Linked DNA regions of Coturnix japonica. The protein of the gene in region 1 interacts with the protein of each later gene in a biochemical or structural test. Links are inferred from orthologs where the notes say so. Each region holds a gene or a part of one and is shown in the gene's direction. Other genes may lie near its edges.

The links.
Region 2: the proteins of CDKN1B (region 1) and CUL1 form a complex in vitro, tested with the Homo sapiens proteins (2 studies listed by BioGRID, with this or other methods). The link is inferred for Coturnix japonica from reciprocal best matches to the Homo sapiens genes CDKN1B and CUL1.
Region 3: of the proteins of CDKN1B (region 1) and RNF6, one has a biochemical effect on the other in vitro, tested with the Homo sapiens proteins (2 studies listed by BioGRID, with this or other methods). The link is inferred for Coturnix japonica from reciprocal best matches to the Homo sapiens genes CDKN1B and RNF6.

What each region holds. Positions count from the first base shown.
Region 1 is NC_029516.1:66,307,650-66,311,665, forward strand, and holds the start of CDKN1B (cyclin-dependent kinase inhibitor 1B), read left to right. Parts: upstream 1-1,210; 5' UTR 1,211-1,735; coding exon 1,736-2,210; intron 2,211-2,616; coding exon 2,617-2,738; 3' UTR 2,739-2,747; intron 2,748-3,561; 3' UTR 3,562-4,016. UniProt on the Homo sapiens protein: Important regulator of cell cycle progression. Inhibits the kinase activity of CDK2 bound to cyclin A, but has little inhibitory activity on CDK2 bound to SPDYA. Involved in G1 arrest. Potent inhibitor of cyclin E- and cyclin A-CDK2 complexes.
Region 2 is NC_029517.1:75,356,520-75,360,605, forward strand, and holds the start of CUL1 (cullin-1), read left to right. Parts: upstream 1-1,286; 5' UTR 1,287-1,427; intron 1,428-1,433; exon of another isoform or gene 1,434-1,694; intron 1,695-4,086. UniProt on the Homo sapiens protein: Core component of multiple cullin-RING-based SCF (SKP1-CUL1-F-box protein) E3 ubiquitin-protein ligase complexes, which mediate the ubiquitination of proteins involved in cell cycle progression, signal transduction and transcription.
Region 3 is NC_029516.1:158,057,861-158,062,008, forward strand, and holds the start of RNF6 (E3 ubiquitin-protein ligase RNF6), read left to right. Parts: upstream 1-1,348; 5' UTR 1,349-1,525; coding exon 1,526-1,581; intron 1,582-1,624; exon of another isoform or gene 1,625-3,392; coding exon of another isoform or gene 3,393-3,419; exon of another isoform or gene 3,420-4,148. UniProt on the Homo sapiens protein: E3 ubiquitin-protein ligase mediating 'Lys-48'-linked polyubiquitination of LIMK1 and its subsequent targeting to the proteasome for degradation. Negatively regulates axonal outgrowth through regulation of the LIMK1 turnover.

The sequences.
Region 1 (4,016 bases):
GCAGACATCAGGATGTCAGCTTCAAGTCTCTGTGAATGGGTAGATCCTGTGGTTGCTGAAAGGAGCTGGAAAACAACTTGTGGTAAAAGTTCTGGCAAACAAAAATAGCAGGGCTGACATTTTATTTCAACCTTGTGTTTTTTAAGTGTTTTTATTTTTCTCTTTGGATGCTCACATCCCTTTTTGAACTCGGTGCTGACAAGAGGCTGACCCAGGACAGAAGGCTGAGCAAGGCAGGGGGCTGCTGCCTTAGGGAAGGAGGCCCACAGACAACCATACTCTGGGGATAAGCATTAAATGCTGATCTTGTTCCCTTTCCAGTGCCTGCACAGGTGAGGCTCCAGTTCAAAACGCACCAACTACAGGGTAGGTTTTGGTGGCCCACTGCAACTGCAAGGCCTGAAGCAAAGTGTGTGTCTGAGTACAGATGGGGCAAAAGCTCCAAAGCTTTAAGGCCACAAGATTTTGGACAGCTGGACTTTGTGGAGGGTGCCAGGCCAGACACTTTGGTATGTGGGGTCTGTAGTATCCAGGTTACCTGGGCCCTGGGGAAGTCCCAAACCTCCAGTGTCTGAAAAGATCCTGCAGTGTGTGGGGCTGTCCTGCTGAGCAAGAGATGCTGACTGTAGTGTGAGTGAGTGTGAACAAGGAGAGCCCAGAGGAGAACCCTGCACTGCTCTTAACTCCAGCGGACCTGCTGCAGCAATCAGAAAAACAGCTCAAAAATCCCTGCCCATGACTCCTGGCTCAACTAACCTTTCAAAACACACAAACTTGAAGGTTTTCATTCTCTTTCCCCTGCTTACTGAGAATACAGCTCCCTGCTGAGAATTCTTACAGCTCCTTCCACACCTGGGCCCTCCTTGCCGGCAGTGCAGCAGAAGCCACCCCTCGCTTTCTCCCTTTCCTCCTGCGGGCAGCACTACGAGGATGCTGGGCAGTGACCCTCTCCCCCGCCTCAGCCGGAGCGCAGCTCCCAGCCCGCCCAACCCTGTGCAAGCAGAGCGATAGCCACAACGAGTCAAAATGCAGCTAGTCCCCTCGACTCGCGTGACTTTCACCAGGCTTATGTTCCGCAGGGGGAGGCGGGCTCACGTGCGCGGAGCGGAGCCGTGCCGTGCCCCCCACGCTCTGCCCGCCCGCCGAGGGGCGGCCGGCGGCCAGGGCCACCTTTAGAGCCGGCGGCGGCGGCGAGGTATGGCCGTGCCGACGGGGCGGTGCCGGCCGCCGTAACCAATGGCTCGGCTCCGCTGTTTAAATAGACTCGTCCTGTCAATCATTTTCTCCTTCGTCAACCTCCCTTCAATCGCCATATTGGGCAACTGAGAAAAGGGCTCGTCTCGCCTTGTTTTTTTTCCCTCTCCGCCCGTACGACGTGGCCGTGGGGAGAGCGGCGGGGCCGTGCGGGCAGCGGTGGGGCCGTGCCGACGGCAGCGCGAGGCCGCCCCCGGGGCCGCGGAGGGCAGCGCCGCTCCCCGCTCGGCCGCTCCCCTCCGGAGCCGCCCGGGCTGCCCGGCGGCGGCGGCTGTCGGGGTTCGGCCGGCCCGGCGCTTATGCAATTGCGCGCCGCCGCCTCTCCTCCGCGGGCCGAGGCGGGGCCGCAGAGAGGGGGCCGTACGGAGACAGACCGCGGAGGAGAACCTGCGAGCGGCCGCGGGTAAGGAGCGGAGAGGAAGAGCGGGGAGAGCCGCGAGAAAGCCCAGCGCCATCGGCGACGGCAGAAAGGGAGGGGGAGATGTCAAACGTCCGCATTTCTAATGGGAGCCCTACCCTGGAGCGCATGGAGGCGCGACAGTCGGAGTACCCGAAGCCGTCGGCCTGCAGGAACCTCTTCGGGCCGATAAACCACGAAGAGTTAAACAGGGACTTGAAGAAGCACCGCAAGGAAATGGAAGAGGCATGCCAGAGGAAGTGGAATTTCGATTTCCAGAACCACAAGCCGCTGGAAGGCAGGTACGAGTGGCAAGCCGTGGAGAAGGGGAGCTCGCCCGACTTGTCCTTCAGACCACTGAGGCTACCCAAAGCCATATGCAAGTCCATCGTCTGTCAGAGCCTGGATGAAAACAAGAATTGCCAAACAGCAATTTGCGCCTCTTCTCAGGGAATCTCAGAGGATACCCACTGTGCAGGCGGGAAGACCAGTGTTGCTGGCGGTCAGACGGACTTTGCAGAGCAGTGCGCCGGGCAGAGGAAAAGACCCGCCGCCGACGGTAACGTACCCCGCGGGCAGCGCCGGGCCCGGCCCCCGCCTCCTCCCGCCCGAACGCCCCCGGTGCCGCCCGCGAGCGCCCGGAGCTCCGCGCTCGGCGGGGACCGCGGGTGAGCGGCGGGACCGAGTGGCGCCCCTCGGGCAGCCCCTCTGCGGAGGAGAAGAGGGGACGCTCCGAGCGCCGGAGTCGGGGCGAAACTAAAACGCGCGTCTCTTTGCCCAGAGAAAAGCCCGTCCGCGCCCACCTTCGCGTAGCCCGGTAGCTGACGTAGGGATGCGGGGACGTGCGGGAATAAGCCCCGGCCCCGTCTCTCCTCCCGCCCCCGGGTGCCGAGCGAGCACCTTGCGGGACAGCGTTTTAAACCGGTCTTCTCCCCCCCCCCTGTTTTTTAATTTTCCCCTCCTAGATTCCTCTCCTCAAAATAAAAGAGCCAACACAACAGAAGAGGAGGTTTCAGAAGACTCCCCCAGTGCCAGTTCAGTGGAGCAAACGCCCAAGAAATCGAGCCCGAGACGACATCAAACGTAAACTCCCCGAGTAGGTTCCCTTCGGGCTCTGGGCATTAGGATGCCTCGGGGGTGTCCGCCCCGAGCTCGGGACCGGGCTTCACGCGGCGTCGTGGTGCTGGGGGGCTGCCCCGCCTCGGCGCCGTTCGCACTGTCCCACCGTGGCAGGGAGCTCCGGCCCAGGAGGGCTCTGGATAAAAGCGGGGCTGAGCGGGAGCCTCTTGGGCTGAGAGAGGAGAGCTTGTGCTCCGGTTTTGTGTTGTTTTTCTCTTTTTTTTTTTATTTTTCTCCTCCCCGGTCGTTGTGGTTTTAGTTTCAGGCGCTGGCTGAGTTTCCAGGGAAGGGAGCGGGTTAATGGCAGCCGTGTGTGGTGTTCTTGTTGTTGTTTTGTTTCAGCGCGAGGGCTGGGGCGGAGGGAGGTGGTACATCGCGCCGGCGGTTTCGGGGCCGGGGTTTAGCGGGAAGGTTTGCGAACGCGGTTCGCGATTGTGCCGAAGAGATTAAGCTGCAAAGCAGAAGTTGCAACAAATTACTCCTGCTGTGGGGGGTGGGGGGGTTAGGGTTAGGCGTCAGCCCTCGCCTCTATGCAAATAGCGCACCACCGCCCGCTCCTTCGGGGCGGGGGCAGCTCCGCGGCCCGGTGGCGGCCCGGCCCCACGGGCTCCGAGCGGAGGCGGCCGACGGCCCTGGGGCGGCCGGGCTTAGAGTGCCGCGGGGCTGGGACGACGCACGGGCCGTGACCGGGCCGGGCCTTCCCTGCTGCGGGGAGCGGTACGAGCCCGTTGAAGGGAGCGCGTCGCTTTCAGCCTCTCTAATGTCTTCTCCCCGTCTTCTTCCCGTTGCAGGGCGGAGGACTCGTGTTTCCTTGCTCATCGGGGGGCGGTGAAGCCAGGAAGATAAACAAACAAACAAACAAAAAAAAAGTCGTAGTAGAGATGAATACATATCGTCGGTCTCCATGGGATGGGGACCCTGTGCAAGCACTGAAAAACAACTTCAGCAAAACAAACAAAAAAAAGCAGACAATAACACTAAAAGTTTAGACACTCTTAAAAAAAGACCTGCCTCTAAAAGCATCGGATGTAGCATTGTGCAATTAGGTGTTTCCTTATTTGCTTCATTGTACTACCTGTGTATATAGTTTTTACCTTATGTAGCACATAAACGTTTTGGGAAGGGGGGGGGGAGTGGAAGAGGGCGACCGATGGAGACTTGCTTTCGCCATCTAGCAAGCAAAGAAATGAAGAGAAGCAGTGTAGGCTTTTTATTCCTTAAAGATGTATTGTCCCTTTACGTGGGT
Region 2 (4,086 bases), on another chromosome or scaffold:
GTTGGACTGGATGATCTTTTAGGTGTTTTCCAACCTTGGCGATTCTATGATTCTAAGGCCAGTTTTTGAAAATGGTGTGAAGCTGCTGGAGCCAGCATGCAAGTGAAACATTTTGGAGAACAAAGAAATCTTTTGTTTCTCTCTGTTGCTTCCCCATTTCTCTCTTCATAAGGAGCTAGTGCTCCTTATGGGCAGAATTCTTCATAAAAAACTTTTCTGGGCAGAATTCTTCATAAAAAACTTTTTTAATGATTCCATGCAAGTTGCTTTAAGTATCTTTTGGTATAATTCAGACCAGCATTTGACTTCATCTTGGCAAGGAAAGTCCCCATAGTTTGGGAGGATACAGTACAGAGAGCCATGATGAAGCAAAATACAGAGGATACATTAATCCCACCCTCCTCCTTTACATCACAGTACCATGAATGTTTATTCCTGAGGACTGCGGAATTATAAGGCAGGACAGAGTCCAAAGCATTACTTTTCCAAAACCTTGATTTCAATAACTTGGCTTAATTTTGGCATGATTTTGCATTATCCATCCCATGCTTTTGAAAATTAACTGCCCCTCTTGTAATCCATGTGACAATGATACAAAAACTAGCAGTTTTTATTTTATCTTGCATTAAATTCATATACATTTGTTCAAAGATCACAAACATCATTATTTAGTTCATGATCTATTTCTCTATCAGACCTTCAAGCATCTCCCCGTCAGCTCACAAACTGAATGATTAAACTTTTCTTTCAAAGAATTTCTACCCTATTCTCTCCGCAATGTTGTTTTCTGAGTTGTTTTTTTGTTTTTCATGAAATTCACAATAACATTACAATTTCTAATTATATTTAGGTCATTGTGACCATTTCTCTTTAACTGCCATTTTTCAATTCAGTGTTTACTCGAAACTAGTGACTCTTGATGCCGTTCAGATGAGAGCAGTTTAATTTGGTAATGTCAGATGGGGATTTTCTTCAGTGTTCATTGTAACTTTAACACTGGATACCACGTAATTCAGTGGCCTAGGACAAGCTAAGAATTAGTATCTAATAAATAAAAAAGCATTTGCGATTTCATCATGAGCAGATACAAGTCTTAGCATTTCAGACTGGAAAATGAGTGCACCTGATGGCTCTAGAAGCGGCCTAACTCTGGGGGGCCAAGCAGGATGACCCTTTAGGGCAGTAAAACGTACAGGCCAGAAGACTCGGACCATCAACGCGACCCTGTTGAACGACTGCGCCGTTGTCATTTCCGGCTGCACACACACCTGCCTTTGTCATTTCCGCCGGGGCAGCCGGAGAAGGCAGGCTTGTGGAGAGCAGCACAACCAAAGGGCAACTCCTCCCCGCGCGGGCGCCGTGGCTGCCGGTTATTTTTAGTTCCGGACTCGAGGCTCAAACTACGCTGATCTCTTCCGGTGGCTTAGGTGGGGAGAGGTTCTGCTGCGCTGTCTTTGCTAGCCCTTTGCCCGCCTTTAGGGAGAGGAGAGGAGGCGGCAGCGGGCTGGGTAGACTTCGCGTCTACCCACGGGTTGGGTCCTCTCCACGCCGTGGGTCGCTCCGAGCCAAGCTAAGGGGGGCGGTGCCTTCTCGCTTTCTGAGCCGTGCTGAGGGGAGGCGGTGGCGGATCTGGGCTCGGCGGTAGCGGAAGGGGCGGGCGGACGCGGCCTGACTCTGCGGGACGTGCGATACTGGTGAGTGCGGGAGGCCGCGGTGCTGTGTCGCAGCCAGGCCAGCAACGCAGCCGGGCCGGGTGGGGAAGCTCAGCTGGGCCAAGGCGACAAGGGCTTAACGAAGCGTGGCCCGGCTTTGAGTCATACAGCGAGGAGCGCGGGAGCAGGAGGGGCTGGGCCTGGCCGACCTGCCCGCCCGCCTTTCTTCTACCGGGCGTACACCGCGTTCCAGAGACAGCGGGAGTCGTTGTCTGACGGGTTCGGAGCTCCGGCCTCGAAGTTGCGGGCCGGTGCGGGAGGCCTCTAACTACGCACTGGAATTACATCACCCCGCCGGACCGCGAGGGCCCGCGCTGCCGGCAACCCTCGCCTCACAGATCTGCCTGTTGTCTGCCCTGCCCGCTCCCCTATCGAGGTCGGCCCGACCTCCCTCCCGCCTCCCAGCCCTTCCCGGCACGTGGCCTGGACCGCCACGGTCGTTGCTTTAGACTTACATCTCTCAGATCCTGACCCTTCGGGCCCTTCTTTCCAGAGCCCTACACCTCTTCTGCCTTCTCACTGGCCCTAGGACTGTATGCCCAGGCCGTGTTCATTCTAGGCCTCATCTATTCTATCCTGAGGCCTCTGGAGCTTTTCCCGTAGCTTGTCTCATCACCAGTGTTAGTTTTTTGTCTGTCTTCACTTCTCTTTTCTCCTTTATTCTTCACGTGGTTACCTTTCATTCTGTTGTTTCCATCTCAAAACTAGTAGCACTCAGATCTATATAGGACCCGTGTGGTTGTAGCCAAATTTCTCTTGTGTACCCACCCAACCCCTTACTGTCATCTCTAAAGTATTTATTTCCATTGTTGTTATCTTCCTCAGCTTTATCAAGGACTGTGCCCCAGGTTTTCCCTTGTAGCTCCCTAATGTTGTGTTCCCAGGGAGAGTTTCCCAACCCTCCTCCCTTTCTCACCCCTCTCTCCCCCCCCAAATAACCTCTTACCTGTTTGTTTGTTCATGTATTTATTGCCGCCATCCAGATGGCAAGTCTTGCAGTTGTTTGTCATTGCAGCTAATCACCTCCTTTGTCTCCCAGTAACTTTGTCTGCCACTGAAAGCTGTGTCCTTATTGTGATCCTTTTCCAATCCTTATTTCCTTTTCAGCCCTATTTCTTAATCATCACCATTCCCTTATCACCTTTCCTGTTTCAGCTTTCTTCCTCCCATATTTCCTTCACCGTGATTTTTTTTTTTCCCCTTCCCTTTTGATCTTACTTTCTTGTCTTAAAAATCTTCTTTGTCATCTCACCTCTTTTTCCTTTGGCATATTCCTTTCCTTTCTAGGCTCACTTGCTGTCCCCTGCACTTTAAGTCCTCCAGCTGTGCCTTTGACAAGAGAGGAATGTGAGCTTAATTCATCTTCAAGAGTTAGGCGATTATAGATTATTTACTTGTTTCACCTTACTTTGTTTTCATTTGTTTGTTACTGACTTCCTTAATAGCCTTTTGTCAATAAATGCTTTCATATATCATCACTTTAATACATACCTAATGCAATGCTAGTCTAGAAAAAAAAAATCCGTCTTAGGACCATCCTCTTAGTCCTGCCAAATGGTTTTCATGGGGAGCAGAAATAACTGGTGGCTGTGTAACTTAAATTATGCTAAATACCGTTCGTTATGCTGAATTGTTGTAATACTTTAAGTTGGTACTTATGAGATACAGGGTGTGTTAAGAATACATTTGCTTTGAGGAATTAGTAAAGTACGTCTTCAGTACCATGGTACATGGTTTTTGCTCCAGATATGCTGGTAGTGAGCTGCTGCAGTACTGTCATTCGATGGTAAGGAGTGTGTTGCATTGGCACTTGGTATCTGCTGGCAACTGCTGTAAAGTAGTCTTTCCCTGTGCTTTGTGATTTTTCTTGTTTCTTAGGAGTTGTTACCAGATTTCTTATTTTATGTCTGTCTTACTTGGTTTGGCTCTTAAGATTATGAGATGTAACCAATCTTACTGTTGTGATGTATTTGAGGTATGATTTAAACACGAAAGACTGCTGTCCTGTGGCAGTGTAGGGAATACAATGAATCTAGAGAGCAATTTCTGTACTTAACTTTAGAATCCTAGTTTGTTGTCTAATTTTGACAACTTGATCTTGTTTTCTCAACTGAATATATGCAACCTAGTAACTTCACAACAACTCGGAACAACTGAACTGGGCTTCTGAGCTGAATTACCCCTCTGGAGGAAACTTTTTCATTTGTCTATTCTATACTGAGAATAGTTTATAGTTTAGGCATCTGGATTAGATGTACACATTTCACTGCTTGAGTGACAAATTGATTGTGCTGGCTCAACTAAGTTATCCTCCTTTCACTTCTTCACTGCATGAGAAAATTTCATTGCATCTCTATAAAGCATGGAAATTAAT
Region 3 (4,148 bases), about 92 Mb from region 1:
GAGCCGCAGGGGCCGAGAGGGACGAGGCCGGGACAGGGGAAGTCAGAATGGAGCCCCGCTCCTCACTCACCCGTCCTTGCGGCGGGCCTTGTAGACGTGCCCGTAGGTGCCTCTGCCCACCTTGCAGCCCTCGTACTCGAACAGGTCCTCGACCCGCTCCCGCTCGCCGGTCAGTTTCACCTTGAAGTCATAGTCCATCTTCGCCGACCCGCGACGCCTCTCGGCAGCCGCGCACCCCGCCCCGCCACCCCCGGGCAGCGGCAACAGGAGGATGAGGAGGACGAGGATGAGGCCCCCGTGCCGCCCCGCGGAGCATGCAGGGCCGGGCGGCGGCGGCGGAGCTGCTCGCTCCTTCCCTCCGCGCCCCGTCCCCGGCCGCTCCGCTCCCTCCCGCCGGCTCGCGGCACAACAGCCGGGCTGCGCTCGGAATACGGCGGCCGCGCCTGGCCGCACTGCTGCAAACAAGCGTCGCAAGCCCCAGCACGACCCCGCCTTCTCCAGCCCCGGCGTGCCTTGCGGAGCGGGGCCGCGATGTGCTGGGAGCTGTAGTGCCGTGCGACAGCCAGCTCCAGCGTTCTGAAAGGAGAACAGCGTTTTCTGGAACGTTCTGAGAGCGTTTGTGTTTATCAACCAACATACAGCCATAGTTTGGAGCTGGGTCTGGAGAGCTGTGTTAGCACGCAGCGTCCCCACAGACATTGTGTGAAGCAACGAAACACCAAGTGCAAGGAAATAACCTACCCCAGAACCCAACACGTAACAGCATAAATAAGCTCTAAAGAAATTAAACGACTGAACGATTGAATGAACCGGGTTTATAGAGCTCACTTTAAGAAACTTAAAATCAGTTTGCTGAGGTTTGCTGCCCTCTACAGGCTGCTACTATTATCGTCCTACAAGTACCGTGTGCTTGGGAAAGATGCTTCTGCAGCGCTATAATAACAACGTTAAAGAGTTCCTACTGTTATTTTGGTATTAAAAGAGACAAATATCAGACAAAGGAAGCCAAAGCACACTGCAGCTTTGAATAACTGATTATTCGTGGTGTGATGAGGAACGTGAATAACAAGGGTTGGACTTAGTGAGTAAACCTAGTAGCACAGAGTAGCGCTGAGCATCACAACAGCCCGATATTGCAGCGCTCAGAGGGATGCGTGCTGAAATCCCCCCTGTGTTAGTCACACCATCGCTGTCCCGGCCGTTGGCCTCTGTCTGGCTGCGCATGCCCGGGAGGGGGCGGCGCTGGGCGGAGGGCCGCGCTCGGAACTCGCTCTCTCGGCTCCCTGCAGCCGCCCGGACCGCAATCGGGGTTGGAACGCCCGCTCTCTCGGCCAGGGGTCGGTGTCTTTCCGCTCCCGCCGCCGGGAGGGAAGGGGAGAGCAGAGCGGAGCGGGGCCGGGAGCCGGGCCGTCCCGCGGGCTGCAGGCGGAGCGGGGCTCCCGGGGCTCCCCGGCCCCTCTTCGTGTCGGGCCGCCCCGCGGCCGGACGGCGGCATGGACAACTCCCCGGCTCCGCGCCGCGGGTGATGCCGCTGCCCCGGGGGCGCGGGCGGCGCTGGAGGCGGCGATCCGGCCGGTGGCGGTTAGTGCGGGGCCCGGCCGGGGGAGCGTGAGGAGGCGGGGGGACGCGGCCTACCTCGTCCCGTCTGGCCGGCCGGGTGGTTGGACGGGAGAGGTGTCGGTCACCGCCCCCGGCCTCCCCCGATCCGGCTGCGGGCACGGGACGGGGCCGGCCCGGAGGTGCCGCTGCTCCGCGCCTCGCGTGGCGCCCGGGCCGGAGAGAGGGCTGCGGAGCCGCCGCTGCCCGTGGAAGCGGGGAAGGCCGCGGGATTCTGATCGCCGTGCGACGCTTCCTTTGTCTGCCTTCGCTTCCCCCTCCCTCCCTCACGCACGGACTGGCGGTTTCTCTCCCTCTTTCTTTTTTTTTCTTTCCCTTCAAGTTGGGTGAGATCATCTCGCCCGGAGGCTGAGATGAGATGTGACGGAAATCTTAAGTGGTCTCGTGGTCCGCGAGGTTTCCTCATCTAAACTCAGTTGTCGTCTTGCAGTCAGGTGGTAGGCGTTCGGAAAGCGCATACCTCATGGCATGGGGGGCAGGGAGCCTTGGAGAGGGGCCAGAGCCTAAAAGCGTGTCGTATGTGTGGCTTGGTTAGAAACATCATCAATAGTGGAGAATGGGCCAGAATAGATGTGAATAAAGAAGGAAAGGAGTTAGTCTTGGGCTGGAAAATGCGAGTTTCTGGTATGTGGCACCTGTTTCTTTGCAGTGCAAGAGTAATCCAGAGCTCTAAATGGGTTTTACATTTTGATTTCTTAGTAAAGAGCCTTAAATTTTCAACTCCTTGAAATATTTTAAAGGCCAAAGTATTTCATTTTGGTGGTGTCTGATAACAAACATGGCTAGTAGCTGTCATCCTTGCAGTTATGTTAAGCAGGTGGGACAGCCAAAGGCTTCACGCTTCTTGTGGTTTCTAAGTGAGTCGCTTAAGGAGTGTGAGTAATCACCCTGCCGTCCCATTGTCAACAAAACAGAGTTTACTTCAGTTTTTGTGGGTAGTAGAGTTCCAGATTTTGCATGAATGCAGGAGGAAGAGCAGAGAATCCCTCTTTCACCCAGCAGTTTAAGTTTAGGTTGAGGGAGTCTACATGCGATGGGCTTCTCATCTCAGGAACCTACGTGTGAGTTTCTCTGCAGCAGCCTGGTGCTATAGGCAGGAAGTCAGTTAAGGTATGGGAGCTGTAGGGCAGGCACTAACACTTACTGTTAGGTTTTCCTCTCAGTAGCAGCATTACGTGAAACTAAATAAACTATATCTGTCATCTTCCATGTGCTACTTATCTCAAGTATTAAGTCAGCTGGAGGCAGAGGCACTTTAATACTTACTGTGGTATGGATTAAGCATTTTCTTGATGGCAGTCAAGCGCTGGTGCTGTCAGGATAGCAATAGTGCTATAACCACATGTTGAGCAGAGGAGGGATTTTGTTTGGGGGAAGGCAGAGTAGTGAGATAAAGAGCTGGCTGAGAAATTGGTGTTTAGAAATGTGCTGGGAGAAGTGACCTGATTTGAGCATAGCCATTGTGGTAAACAAGAGCCAGTATTTAACAGCAGATTGTGAGGCTGAGCACAGAGGGTAACAGTAAATTAACAGACCCTGCAAACATGATGGGAACAGAAAATGTCTTGAGAGGGGGTACCCAGATTTCATGTAGTTTAAGTTAAATGGGTTTAACAGCTAGGAGGGAAGCATTACGTACATCCAAATGCAGCACTGGATGCAGGAGACAGATGTATGACAAGATTGACTGGCATAGTTGGAAGTGCAGTTACTTATGGTGAAGGGGGAAAAGTGGCAGATGGGGTGGAAAATGAGGAGACCAAGGATGCATCAGAATGGATCCCACAGAGAACATAAGCAAGGTATATTAAATGTATGCCAGCGTCTGCTGTTGGCAAATACATTTCCTGATTCTTCGTATCTGTTGGCAGCAGTGATTAAGATTTACTCTTTAATGAATGTATGTTGATTTGGTTTGCTTGTTGGCTTGTGAACTTGTCTGTGAAGACTAATTACTTAGTGGGAGTGTGCTGAGAATGCTGTTCTGTGTTTTCCCGTTTAACACTTGAAGAGATTGACATGCTGGTGAATTGACCCCTCATAAAGAAGTATTTACCCAATAACTTCTTCTCCACGATTAAACAGAGTGCTAGTGCTGCATGGCGATTCCTGGTAATCTCATTAGAGAAGTGATCTGTTCTGTCAGTTGTCTACCACAGCAAGTATTACAGATGGCTTTTGTTAAATGTGAAGCCCCATTGAAAGGATGACTCCCTGCTTTCTCTTCTTTAAAACTGAGTATTGAAGAACAGGTATGGCCAAGAACAGGGCAATTCATTCCTTTGTTAGCTAATGCTTGGACTAGAGATTGCAAGGAAAACGTCAAAGTTGTGTCAGAAAGTCAAAAGGGTAACTTCTACCAAAAATATATCTGTAGGCTTTGTGCTATGGGAGTGGTAGTAAGGACAGAGATAATGCTGTAATGTGCTTATCAGTAAACATTTCAAGAGTCCTCCAAAGCAGTAACTGGTTTGGTTTTTTTTTGGAAGTCTACACTGGGTAATTACAGAACAATGCTTTCAGTGATATTT